Drosophila melanogaster: one gene and its partner. The protein of the gene in region 1 interacts with the protein of each later gene in a pairwise test. Each region holds a gene or a part of one and is shown on either strand. Other genes may lie near its edges.

What was found. Proteins that work in one complex are often made in the same cells at the same time.
Region 2: the proteins of slx1 (region 1) and mus312 interact in a two-hybrid assay, tested with the Drosophila melanogaster proteins (2 studies listed by BioGRID).

The regions. Positions count from the first base shown.
Region 1 is NT_033777.3:4,640,045-4,645,173, forward strand, and holds slx1 (nuclease slx1), read left to right. Parts: upstream 1-1,918; 5' UTR 1,919-1,951; coding exon 1,952-1,964; exon of another isoform or gene 1,965-2,356; coding exon of another isoform or gene 2,357-2,384; intron 2,385-2,524; coding exon of another isoform or gene 2,525-2,614; intron 2,615-2,706; coding exon of another isoform or gene 2,707-3,203; exon of another isoform or gene 3,204-3,248; intron 3,249-3,499; coding exon 3,500-4,380; 3' UTR 4,381-4,592; downstream 4,593-5,129. Other genes in the region: CG9775 (uncharacterized protein), read right to left, coding at 1-178; MED31 (mediator complex subunit 31), read left to right, coding at 2,357-2,384, 2,525-2,614, 2,707-3,203; Dlip2 (dorsal interacting protein 2), read right to left, coding at 4,740-5,032. UniProt on the Drosophila melanogaster protein: Catalytic subunit of a heterodimeric structure-specific endonuclease that resolves DNA secondary structures generated during DNA repair and recombination.
Region 2 is NT_037436.4:7,327,571-7,333,977, forward strand, and holds mus312 (mutagen-sensitive 312), read left to right. Parts: upstream 1-1,561; 5' UTR 1,562-1,668; coding exon of another isoform or gene 1,669-1,793; intron 1,794-1,858; coding exon of another isoform or gene 1,859-2,020; coding exon 2,021-2,067; exon of another isoform or gene 2,068-2,118; intron 2,119-2,145; coding exon 2,146-2,669; intron 2,670-2,728; coding exon 2,729-3,661; intron 3,662-3,721; coding exon 3,722-3,766; intron 3,767-3,822; coding exon 3,823-5,723; 3' UTR 5,724-5,901; downstream 5,902-6,407. Other genes in the region: mrva (minerva), read right to left, coding at 1-758; CG42307 (uncharacterized protein), read left to right, coding at 1,669-1,793, 1,859-2,021. UniProt on the Drosophila melanogaster protein: Regulatory subunit that interacts with and increases the activity of different structure-specific endonucleases.

The DNA.
Region 1 (5,129 bases):
GGAGCCTCTTGAATTCATTCAGCAGCCTAGAGTTGACCGCGGACATTCCTTGATTTCCGGCTCCGCTGCTCACAATGCGGCGACTCCTGCTCCTGGAGCGGCTGCGACCGCGTCCCTGTGGCGGCTGCTTTGACTGCATCTGCGTAAAGCGCTCGTTTAAGGAGATTCCAGTGTTCATGATTGTTGCGGCTTTGCTTTTATAAATTGATCCTTATAATGTATGTTTTCACTGTTCTCCGCTTGACTCTTGGACGATCGAGTGGGTGTTTCTGCGCCGAAAACCGGTTTGCAACTGTAATGGAAAGCAAAAATGTAATGAGTTTTGTAGGCAGTCAGGTACGCCAGGACGACCCCCGGACAGGTAGTGCCAGCTGACACCCATAAACGCTAAGCTCAGACAGTTCTTTAAAATATACCAATAAATCTGCAGCTGTTCCTATGTGGAAAAGCCAACCGTTGGCTTTACCCCTTATGCACCCCCGTAAATAAAGCCGTGGTCATAGTTACAACACTAAACATTTTAATATTACCTATGAATTTTCCCACTTAAGAACATTGATTCATTTCACATGTATATAGGAAGATGTTTAGGAGTAAAGATCACTTTAGTCAAGAGTCGCGACTATGAGATACCCAGCACTCAGCGAAGACATTTATTTGATACGTTTCTAATAATCCTATTTTAACTATTATGACAATTGTATGGAACTACAGTGTTATATGCCAATTTGGGCGTTGTAGATCGTGGTCAGATCGACCAGGCCATTGGTCCGGATCGAAGAAACATTTACATTATAGGGTCGGAATCACTTTTTATACCAGTTACACACTGTACACTTTTCACTCTATAATACTGTTTTAGGTAATGGTCTATTTATCTCGAATTTAGATGTACGAATTAGTGTGGCAAACCAATCGATCAATTAAAATTGCGACTGTGGCTTGCCTAAGCGGACACAAAAGAGACTTACATTCGTAATTACATTGAAATGATTCAGAAGCCTATCAAGAAACAATCTTTGGTTCTATTTGGACGGCAGCTGTGCTGTGCTGTATAGATACATATGCACATATGTACATATGTGTACATCTGTATGCATCTGTATATGTATATACATTTCGGAGTTGTATTCAAGCAGAGCACACTGTAATCTAATAATAGATTCTTCGCCAACATGAATTTTTTGTGGATGATGATTAACCCGTCGAAATCGGGGAAATAGTTGGATATACATATATAATGTTTCATATGCACTTAAATTACATAATTTTGTTAATACTTACATTTCTGAATTGTGCGTCGCTGCTTCGCTTGTTCCTCAGCACAAAAATAGGTGCGGGGGCGTTCTGTCCACAGATAGAAATTAGTTTCACTCGTTGATTTCTCGTTTATTTAGCCTAAACTACGACTTTTTCAGTGGCTTGGTTCCGATTAGATATGTTTTACAGACGAAATTCAAGTTTTTCCTCGCTGCTTTTCAGGCTGACAAAAAAATCAGGCATTGTTCTCCACAGCGTTCGTCGTAGGCTTGTGAAAATACCGAATTAAATGCGCATCACATTAGGGGTAGTGAAATAAATACTGAAGGCTACACACAATTGTTAATTACATATTATAATTAAAAATTGTCAATGTTCTGGTCGGAATTTTATATTTTAATATAAATTTTAATTGTTTTATTATGATTATTTGTAGATACCATTGATCGCTGTACTTCTTGATACATACGCTCAGATTTGTTTAAACTTACTCTGGTATTAAAGATTTTTGTTGGTTAAAACAACCCTAATTCTAATTTTTAACACAGAAACATTTTCAAGAATACCGTTAGCACACACCAAGTAAAATATACGGAAAAGCAGTATTTTACGAAAAAAAAATCGTATTCGGATGAGCTTGCAGCCCTGGCGGGGACAGAAGTAGGGTTGTCGCCGGCCATCAACAATCCAAATGAACTCCTACGGTTTGTAGACAATATTAAAAACTGAATTTAACTGCCTTCCCACAAGAAATCACCAACACAAAGGGAGCGACAACCCACCGCCTGCGCCCAGAAACCTGGTCGACTGTTTTCCCGAGTTTTCTTTTGGCCCACAACCTGCGTTTGCTCTGTGCAGTCACTGCCGCGCCATACATTTTATTTCATTAGCGAAGCCCATATATATTTATAATTTTACTTGTGTGTTTTGTTTGCCGCGACGTTTCGTTTTCAATTCGATGGTGCACCAAAACACACAGCTCAGAACATCCACATAGCACACTGAAAGAAACCAAGAACCCAACCCGACACCGAAACTGAATAGACGCAAGTACCGACCCAACGAGACCCTTTCCAAAGCCAAAGACCAGTCCAAAATGGCCAAAATGTACGGAAAGGGTAAGAGTAAGTACACGCCAATCCACACCCATTTTCGCATTGTAATCTAACACCTACTGACACCGCTTGGCATGCCGAATCCTCAGAGATCTACCAAAAGTGGTGCTAATTTCTCAGGGACTAATGCTCTCCAATTTCTTCCGTAGCTGCTATCGAGTCGGAGGAGCTGCAGAAGCGACGCTGGCAGATCGAGCTGGAGTTCGTGCAGTGCCTGTCGAACCCCAACTATCTAAACTGTAAGAATAATATTACCTCGACCTACCTAATATTCACTTATTCACCATCTTGCGCGTATATCTAAATAAACAATTACAACGCCTTGTGCCAGTCCTTGCACAGCGTGGATTTTTCAAGGACCAGTCGTTCATCAACTACCTGAAGTATCTGCAGTACTGGAAGGAGCCGGACTATGCGAAATACCTCATGTACCCAATGTGCCTCTACTTCCTCGATCTGCTGCAGTACGAACACTTCCGCCGGGAGATCGTCAACTCGCAGTGCTGCAAGTTCATAGACGACCAGGCCATTCTGCAGTGGCAGCACTACACTCGCAAGCGCATCAAACTGATCGAAAACGTTACGGCCGCCCAGCAGCAACAACAGCAGCTTCAGCAGCAACAACAGCAGGCGAACGGCATGGAGGCAGCAACGGGAGGCGAATCAGCAGCACCTACCCCCAACGTGAACGGGTCAGCTTCCACGGCGGATAGTCAACAGACGTCTTCTGCCCTACAGCCTGTCCAAGCACAGCCTGGAAATCCCCAGCAGCAGCAGCAAATCAATGGCGTGGCATCGGGGGCCAACATAAAACTAGAGTTAAACTAGCGCTGGCAACTAAAAGTTTACCAATAAAATAGTATAAGAACCTGGAACAAGTTATTTTGCATTCCATTTATTATCTTCCTTTTTGGCTGAGAAACAGCTACCACTTAACACACCTTATTTTCTTAGCTATTTTAGCCAAACTAAAATTCTAAAATAATTTTATTTCTTTTTTTATTTTAGAAAATCTTGAAAACCTCATCTCATTGCTTTAGTTAGGGTGTCGCCTCCTTTGTCGTTGGTTTTTGGTTGCAGACACAAAGCAAGTTTCATTAATCTATCTGTTGGTGAATTCACAGACCCACAGGACACAGCTTCTCAACAGGAGGAATCCGTCGCGCTGAAGGGCCACTTCTACGGCGTCTATTTGCTATGCAGTCAGAGCTTGGATCCTCGCTACCGGGGAAAATGCTACGTGGGCTTCACCGTGAACCCCAAACGGCGGATACGCCAACACAATCTTGGTTGTGATTTCGGTGGCGCGAGGAAAACCAGTCGCAAAGGGCCGTGGCTGATGGTAATGATCGTGCACGGATTCCCGAATAATACAGTGGCACTCCAGTTTGAATGGGCTTGGCAACAGCCGTCGCTTTCAACTAGGCTTAAAATGTACCCTGAATTAAAACGAAAACTGCCCAGGGAGACGTTCTTTGACTACAACTTTAGGATCCTTAGTAATATGCTGGGGGTTGGCCCTTGGAATAGATTACCGCTCACCGTTCGCTGGCTAGAAACGGATTACGAGAGGCCATTCAGCAAGGCACTGCCTAAACACATGGAAATTGTGAGTGGCAAGGTTTCCATTAGTGCCTCACAACGTAGGAGACCTGATGATGCAGTACCTCCTCCACCTGTGGCGTGGGCTTCCGAGTGCCACCTTTGTATGCAGGAAATGGAGCAACCGGAGAAATCCCGCCTGGGATGCACAAATCAAATGTGTCGGCTGACATGCCATATGGTGTGCCTGGCCAATTACCTTCTGGGCGACGAGCCAGGTCATTACATCCCAGTTGGAGGAGAGTGTCCGCTTTGTGAGACTCGTCTCAGCTGGGCAGCACTGCTGCAGCGCAAACGTCTTCTTTTGGGCGTGCCTGAAGAACTGCAGGATCATGACGAGGATCTGAGCGACGACATTGATGTAGACAGCGATATTGAAGATACCCCGGAGCTCAGCGATTAGTTGAGGACCCATTTCATTTTATTTACAAATGCTAAGGTATCGCATAAGCTAAAAGTATCTAGGCAAACACCATCTTAATGCGCTTGTAAAAGTAAACATTTTAACTAAATACTTTAAAAATATTTCCAATAGATAATACTGAGTATAATTTAGATTTGTTTGCGGTATTTAAGGTTTAAACGAAAGAAATTAAATGCTGAAATTTAAAGTGTAACAAATTAATTAATATTTATCAGTATTTATTCTCCAAGTATAATAAAATAAATTATTAGGTTTGTTTCCCAATTCGTCAGGTGCTTTTAAACTAAGATAACGTTCAGTAAATTGACAGAAGAACAACATGTATTACATTGATAAAGTTAAAGGTCAAGGTGGGAAATATGTTTCTTAATGCTTCTTAAAGCATTTTTATAGTCTTGCAAAAGTTTAGCCATTTTCCGCTTTTCCTGCAAGTAATACTCCATAGACATTTGTACGTACTCCTGTCCCTTGAAGTTGAACACAGACACTTCAGTAGTATCTATATTGTCGGGTTCTGCTCTAACTCGGCCTGCATTCGGATTGGGTTCCATTTTCACAGCTTCCTTTAGAGCAATGACAATGGAAGATTCCTTCGGGCGCTTCTGCGGTGGACTATCGTGGACTGCGTCAACTGAAAATAATGTTAAAGAAGTTAATAAAGCATTAAGATGCAACACCGACATGATGAATCCAACCCGCTCTATTTCGAAGGCCCGGTGGATTTATAG
Region 2 (6,407 bases), on another chromosome or scaffold:
TTACGCTGCAAAATCCGCTCGGCCCTCTTGTCCATCCAGCCGAGGATGAGGGCACAGGTCATCGACATCACACAGGTGAGGGTAGCCAGCAATAAGACGACGCCTAGAGCGGTATGTCCCTTGTAAAAATTGCTCACATACTCATAGATGGGCTGCATCACCCAGAAGTTGACGGTGCTGCCGAATCGGGCAACCGACAGCTGCAGGCCGAATACCATGTTCAGTTCCTTGCCCTTAAACCAGAGCACCGCATAGCTGTTCTGGGCCACCGCCAGTGATTCGGCGCCAATGCCGAAGATAAACCGTCCCAGGATCATCATCCAGAAGGCGTCCAGAATGCCGCCGCAGGCAAAGATCAACTGACCCACCAGCAGGATCATCATGTAGATAATCGTGCCCAGTCGAATGCCAAACAGTCGATCGATCAGGAAACCTCCCACGAAGCACAGGACGACATTGGGCCACGAGTAAATCGAGTAGATGAGTGTGAACTGGGCGGAGGTCAGATTAAGATCTTTCTTGAAATAGTTCTGCAGGGCGCCGGGTGCATCGTAACAGAAATAGGAGCCGAATCCCAGCAGGCACATGAACACCAGAGCCATGAACCGGTGGCTCGTGCTCGAGGGCATGCAGCAGCCGCCGGACGGAAGGCTCAGTTCATTGTCACGCCGACCGGCCCGACTGACCACTTGGTCCTCCTCCGTCGGTCGCGACACCTCCTCATTGTCCACGATGCGTTCCTCGTCCTCGCGCGCCATCTCCACTCACCGCTGGCACAATCCGCACTGACCAGTTGGATGTGGAGCCGAATCCCGCAGAATGGGCGTATGCAAAACTATGTGATATGATTAATCGGCTTTCTGATTTCCTGCCGCAGTTGTTTTTTCTTTTGCTTTCGTTTTTCTCTTTTCGTATTTGCCGTTTCTGCAAAATATTTGTATCAATTTCTGCGAACGAGTGAGCGAGTTGAACTCTTCTGCTTTGTCTTGGCTTATCTCGCTGCTTTTGTTTTTGTTTACTGTACTAGTACCCTTTGTCTAACAACTATTGTTGTTGTTGGCTGTGTGGGCTAGTTAGTTGTCTCTGGGTTCACTGGTTATCAGCAGTTTTTCCACTCCACTTGCAGCTGAAGTTCGCAGTGCGGTGTTGGGCAACAAATGTTCGGTGACGTGTGCAACCGCACTTTATTGCTGATCGAATAAAACTAAATTCTTTCCTCTGCCTAATTAACGTTAATTACGCATATACAATGGCGGGGCTGCCAACTCGCTGTAGAGCAGGGTTGTCGACGCAGCTACAGGTGCATTCGAACAGCTGGCAGGCGATAACGATCACAAATATGAACGGTATTCCTGTTTTGCTCTCCATTATAATCGAAAGTTTACTCTAATTGAAATGCAAATTTTAGTAAGCCATGATTATTTATATAATAGAATTATATAAATAAAAATAAAAACGCTTGATTATATTAATAAAACAAGATAATCATTAATTGAGAAACTATTTAAGTACAAGAGCTCAACGACGCAGAAATCTCTTGCATCTTGTTTTGATTTAATTTAGTATAGCCTGACAACCCTAATCCAGCAACGCCGAGTTGAAGCATGTTTTCATACTTTTTACCGGGTAAAATGTATTTAATTATATAATTCAGCGGCCCTTGCAGCAATGGATCCCATCGACACCACCAAGCGAAAGCCCAGACGCACCTACGGCACGCCATCCTACACGTATCGCAATCGATTTGCCTATGCCCTCTTGGCCGCCGGAACTGTGCTCTTCGGCATTTGGAGGTGAGCAGATCTTCGAACTTAACGTATAAATGTGGTTTTAATGCTTGCCACCGCCTCGTTTTCAGCCTGACTCCCATCCAGCGCATTGCCAACGAGAAGCTGTCCCAGGCGGTGGCCCAAACCGAACAGGAGCGCGATAGGAAAGGACTCTTTGAGTTCGGCGCACCAAGGACTTCGCAGTTCATCAGGGACGCCATCAAGGAGAGCGAGGAGCAGAGGAACAAATAATGGATCGCAAGACGCGGCGAGCCAACTTCAAAAACCTGCAGCCTCGGTAATTTTAATTGAAATAAAGGCCAATAAAATGAATGTCATTATCTAACCGAACACTTTGTTTTCCTTTCATCCGAAGTTTGACGCGAAGCACCAAAGCAGCCGCAGATACATTATCGTTATCCAACTTCTTTGCCACACCCGAAAATGCTGAAGAAGTTCCGTCATGTCTCGCCGACATTCCTGTTCAGCCCGATCCTCCTGCGCCAAAAATCAAACCAATACGCACCAGCAATGTGTTCGAAAAACCTGGGCCCAAGCCCAAAAAGGCACCCAAGCTCAAGGCCAGCACTGTGTCAACGTCGAGTGGGGCGCGTCGTGGACGCGGAAAGAGCAAACAACAGCCCAGTATCAGCAACTTTCTACGCAACGAGCAGATCTTCGCGGAGGTTACCGCCCAGCATTGCATGGCGGACAACTTTAGTGCGGATGACATTGAAATGGCGCTGGCGCTGTCCAAATCGGAGAGTGAGAAGCATGGACGCCTTCGTCTGCATGACGATGACGATGCGGTGGTTGACCTACTGGATGATGAAGAGAAGTCCACTGAGAGAATACGTCATAAACTGCAGAAGTATGGCTTCCGCACAGCCGCCAAGGAAGGTAAGTCATCTTATAAAGTGTAAACGGTAAGATTGGACTTACGTTTTATCCCCATTTAGATTATAAATCTCTGGCGGTCCTGCCCGTGGTGGCCAGCAAAGGAGGTAGACGTGGCAAGTGGGCCAATAGGTTTACTTCCCTAACTTTAAGAAATCCGGATGTGCAACAGAAGAAGCTCGAGGAGAAAGTGTCTGCATTGCTTGGCCAAGAAATGCGCGGCAAGGAGCCCAACGGGGAAGACTGTTGTCTGACACCATACACTGTGATCACCGCAGCATTGAAGGAACTCAGAGCTGAGGGTGAATCTCGCATCCTTCGGGAACCAAGCGAAGGGCCCATAGATGACCTAGAATCATACTACGTAACCGACTTGTTTGAAGTTAGTCGCACGCCGGCACACCATCTTTTGAAGAATTGGGCAGCGATACAGGGAAGGGATTTTTCGCCAGAGCGTGAGACCCAAAAATGCCGCCAATTAAGGCAACAACATGAGCTTGTCTACGCTGAGTTGGAAAGGTACTACGGTGATCCACAGAAGTTAGAAGAGGAGGTGATGCAGGAACTGGATGAATTGGAAAAACTGGTGGCAGATAACATGATCGAAGATGATTCTGTAGTGATAAATATTGTGGAGGCAGAATCATCGTCGACTGGTAGCAGTCCATCAAAGGAGCCGCCGGATAAGCGTCCAAAAATGACAATGGAAGATAAGGAAAACCTGCAGCCAACAACATCAAAAGCCAGCTTGACTGTTCCCGCCCAGTCAACCCGCTGCACCTCGCCGGATCTCTTTGCGGACTCCGAAGATGAGCCGGATATAGTAACGACTGCTATATCCAATGAACCCGAAGACGTTAGGAATCTTTCAATGAAAGTTTACAAGAATGTCAGCATTAGCGAACGATCATCTTCGGTCGCTGAAATAGAAATTGTGTCCAGCAATGATGAACCTTCTCAGATAACCACGTATGAAGTGTTTTCCAGCGACGAAGGTGAGAATCTCCATTCATATAGACAGCACACCCCTTAAGAGTATTTCAATTTGCTTTCAGTAAAGACTGTTTCCAACGCTACGCAGGAGAAGATTTCTTTTGATGGTGAGTAAACACAGAAAAGTTCGATACCAAAATCTCATTCATATTTTAATTTCCAGACAAACCCATAGATGACTTTATAGACCTAACACAAGAGTTCGATATGGTAGAATTTAATGAATCAAAGCCTAGAACCCCAAACTTAATTGCATCATCGGAAACAGATTCCAATGTAGACAACCTAAATGGTGATACAATTCTAGATTTTAGTTCCCAGGAGGTAAGTTGTCCCATCTCCAAGGAATTGTACGCAAAGTATGCCAAGGTGGAAACATTCCCTGTGTGGAATGCAGCAGCAGAAGAGGAGGATAAAATTGAGTTTTCCTTAAGCATGGAAAGAGATTTGAAGAGTTCCGAGCAATCGTCGCATCAGCTCGGCATATTAACCACTCCAAATGACACCGAACACAGTTCAAGCTTCAGTGAATTGAATTTCTCGAGGAACTCGCTTCGGAGGAGCGTTAGTCTATCAACGGATCTCAGTTTCAAAAGTCCGCTTAACTGGAAAATGAACTCATCAGCCGAGAAGAGGGTCTCGCCGGCTGCTTCTCCTTACAAACAGTCGGATGCTAGTGTGGACTTAACCCAGAACAGCGATGACGAAAACGACGCAATTCTGCTCTCCGACGAGGAAATCAATTACTCCATTTGGAAGGGCAATAAGACCGTAAAAGATTTGGATATCGGGGACGATAGCTCAGACAGTTGCTTTGCATCTCCGGTGACGAAAAAGCGAGCTATCCCACAGTTCCAAACTGAGGAGGATCTGGATGCCTTCTTGATGGACTTTTCCACGGATGGCAATGGATCGCAAGGTTCACATTCTCCCAACAAGAGTGCTCTTAGCAAGGAGCGTGCTGAATTCGGAATACTGGATGCTGCTCCGTCTCAACCCTTCAGTCTATCTGAACTTCAGAGTCACGCCGACAAAGAGAAGTCATCGGATAACGAAATCAACTGGGCAGAAGCTTCATTTTTGGATGCACCAGCAAAGCCATTGTCACGCAGGAGCAGCCACAAATTTAATGAGCTCTTGGCGAAAATAAGCAAACCAGCGCATAACTCTGGCGACGACTTTGACGAATTCGATCAGATGGTTTTCCAAAGCACCAAGGAAGCCGCCTCCAGTGCTGGCGAAACAAGTGACATGCCTCAGGGATTGGACCTTTTGTTGAAGGGAGAGATAAAAACGACAGCGATCCCGGAGACAAGAGCTCCAGGCAACCAAACTCCGATTGAACCGCAGCAAGTAGATGTTGACGGCAATGTCTACTCCGTGCGTGTTTGTCACACACCTAAGCCAGATTTCGCCACCCTCCCGGAATCGGAGATCCTCCAGCAGCTCTACAAGTACGGCATAAAGCCACTAAAACGCAAACAGGCAGTGAAAATGCTCGAATTCATCTACAATCAAACGCATCCCATAATGAAGACAGCTGCTGTTCAGGATTTACCAGCCAGATCTGAGCCAATTGTGCGTTCCAAGTCAACTCCTGTGATTATGGAGAGACCACATTCGCAAGTAGCAAAGTCAACCTCTAAAACATTGAAGGCAATTGGGACAAAAAAGGATTTAACATTTAACGATGCCACGGGCGAGGAATTGCTGCGCTTTTCCCAATCCCTTGCCCCGAGTCTTTGCGATGACTTCGAGACCTTTGTCATGCAAACGAACGTTACCAAGAAGACACCACAGCCGCTGGTGCCACTGCACATCGCCTGGCACAATCTCATCTGCGCCAATCCCCAACTGCACGAAAGTGTACTCACGTACGAACCCATTGATTTGCAGGCAGTTTACTTGCACCTGAAGCACATGGGGCATCGATACGATCCAAAGGACCTGAAGACCTTCTTCGACCGGCGTTGCATTATCTTTCGCTATGAACTGGGTGCTCCCGGCAAGCAAGCAGAGCGTCATGTGCGAAGGCACACAAAAAAGCCTTCTAAAAGGAAGTAGATTCTACAAGTTATGGAATTTCATTGTACTTATACCTAACTTTGAATGCATTGAATTATTTTCTAGTATTTACCTTATATTGTATTATTGAATAAGATATTGTTACTTGGTATTTTGCGATCTAAATTTATTGTATGTAAAATTGATAAAACTCAAATACATTCAACACTTTTGTTTGAAGCATTGTTAACCATTCCTATTTGCCATTTCAAGCTACCCACTAGCATCTACGATTAAAAAACACAATATTATTTTGGGGGCCGTAGATTTATTTGATGCAACTTCAAAATACAATATTACAAAACTAATGGACGAATACAAATGTATAGAGTTTGTAGTAGATACAAGACACTGATATTTTCATACGAGTAGAATATTGGACAACATTAAATGCAGCATCTGTAGACAGACTACCCTAAATGGGTATTAAATGTAAAAATACAATTCGATCTTACGGCGCTAGAAAAGACACTTGGACGGTATAAATTTCTTACGAGTCTCTACGTGAAAGGCACATTGTCAGATTGCGATTAATGGAATGGAATCGGCTCGAACAAAACTGGTTGCTAATGAAACTATTTGTACTGCATGCAAAACTGATATGGTTGGTGGGTGCAGACGGGTTAGTGGGCTCTTACAGTAGCTAGGATTAGTTTTGGGGGGAGAGAGATATATAAGAAGCAA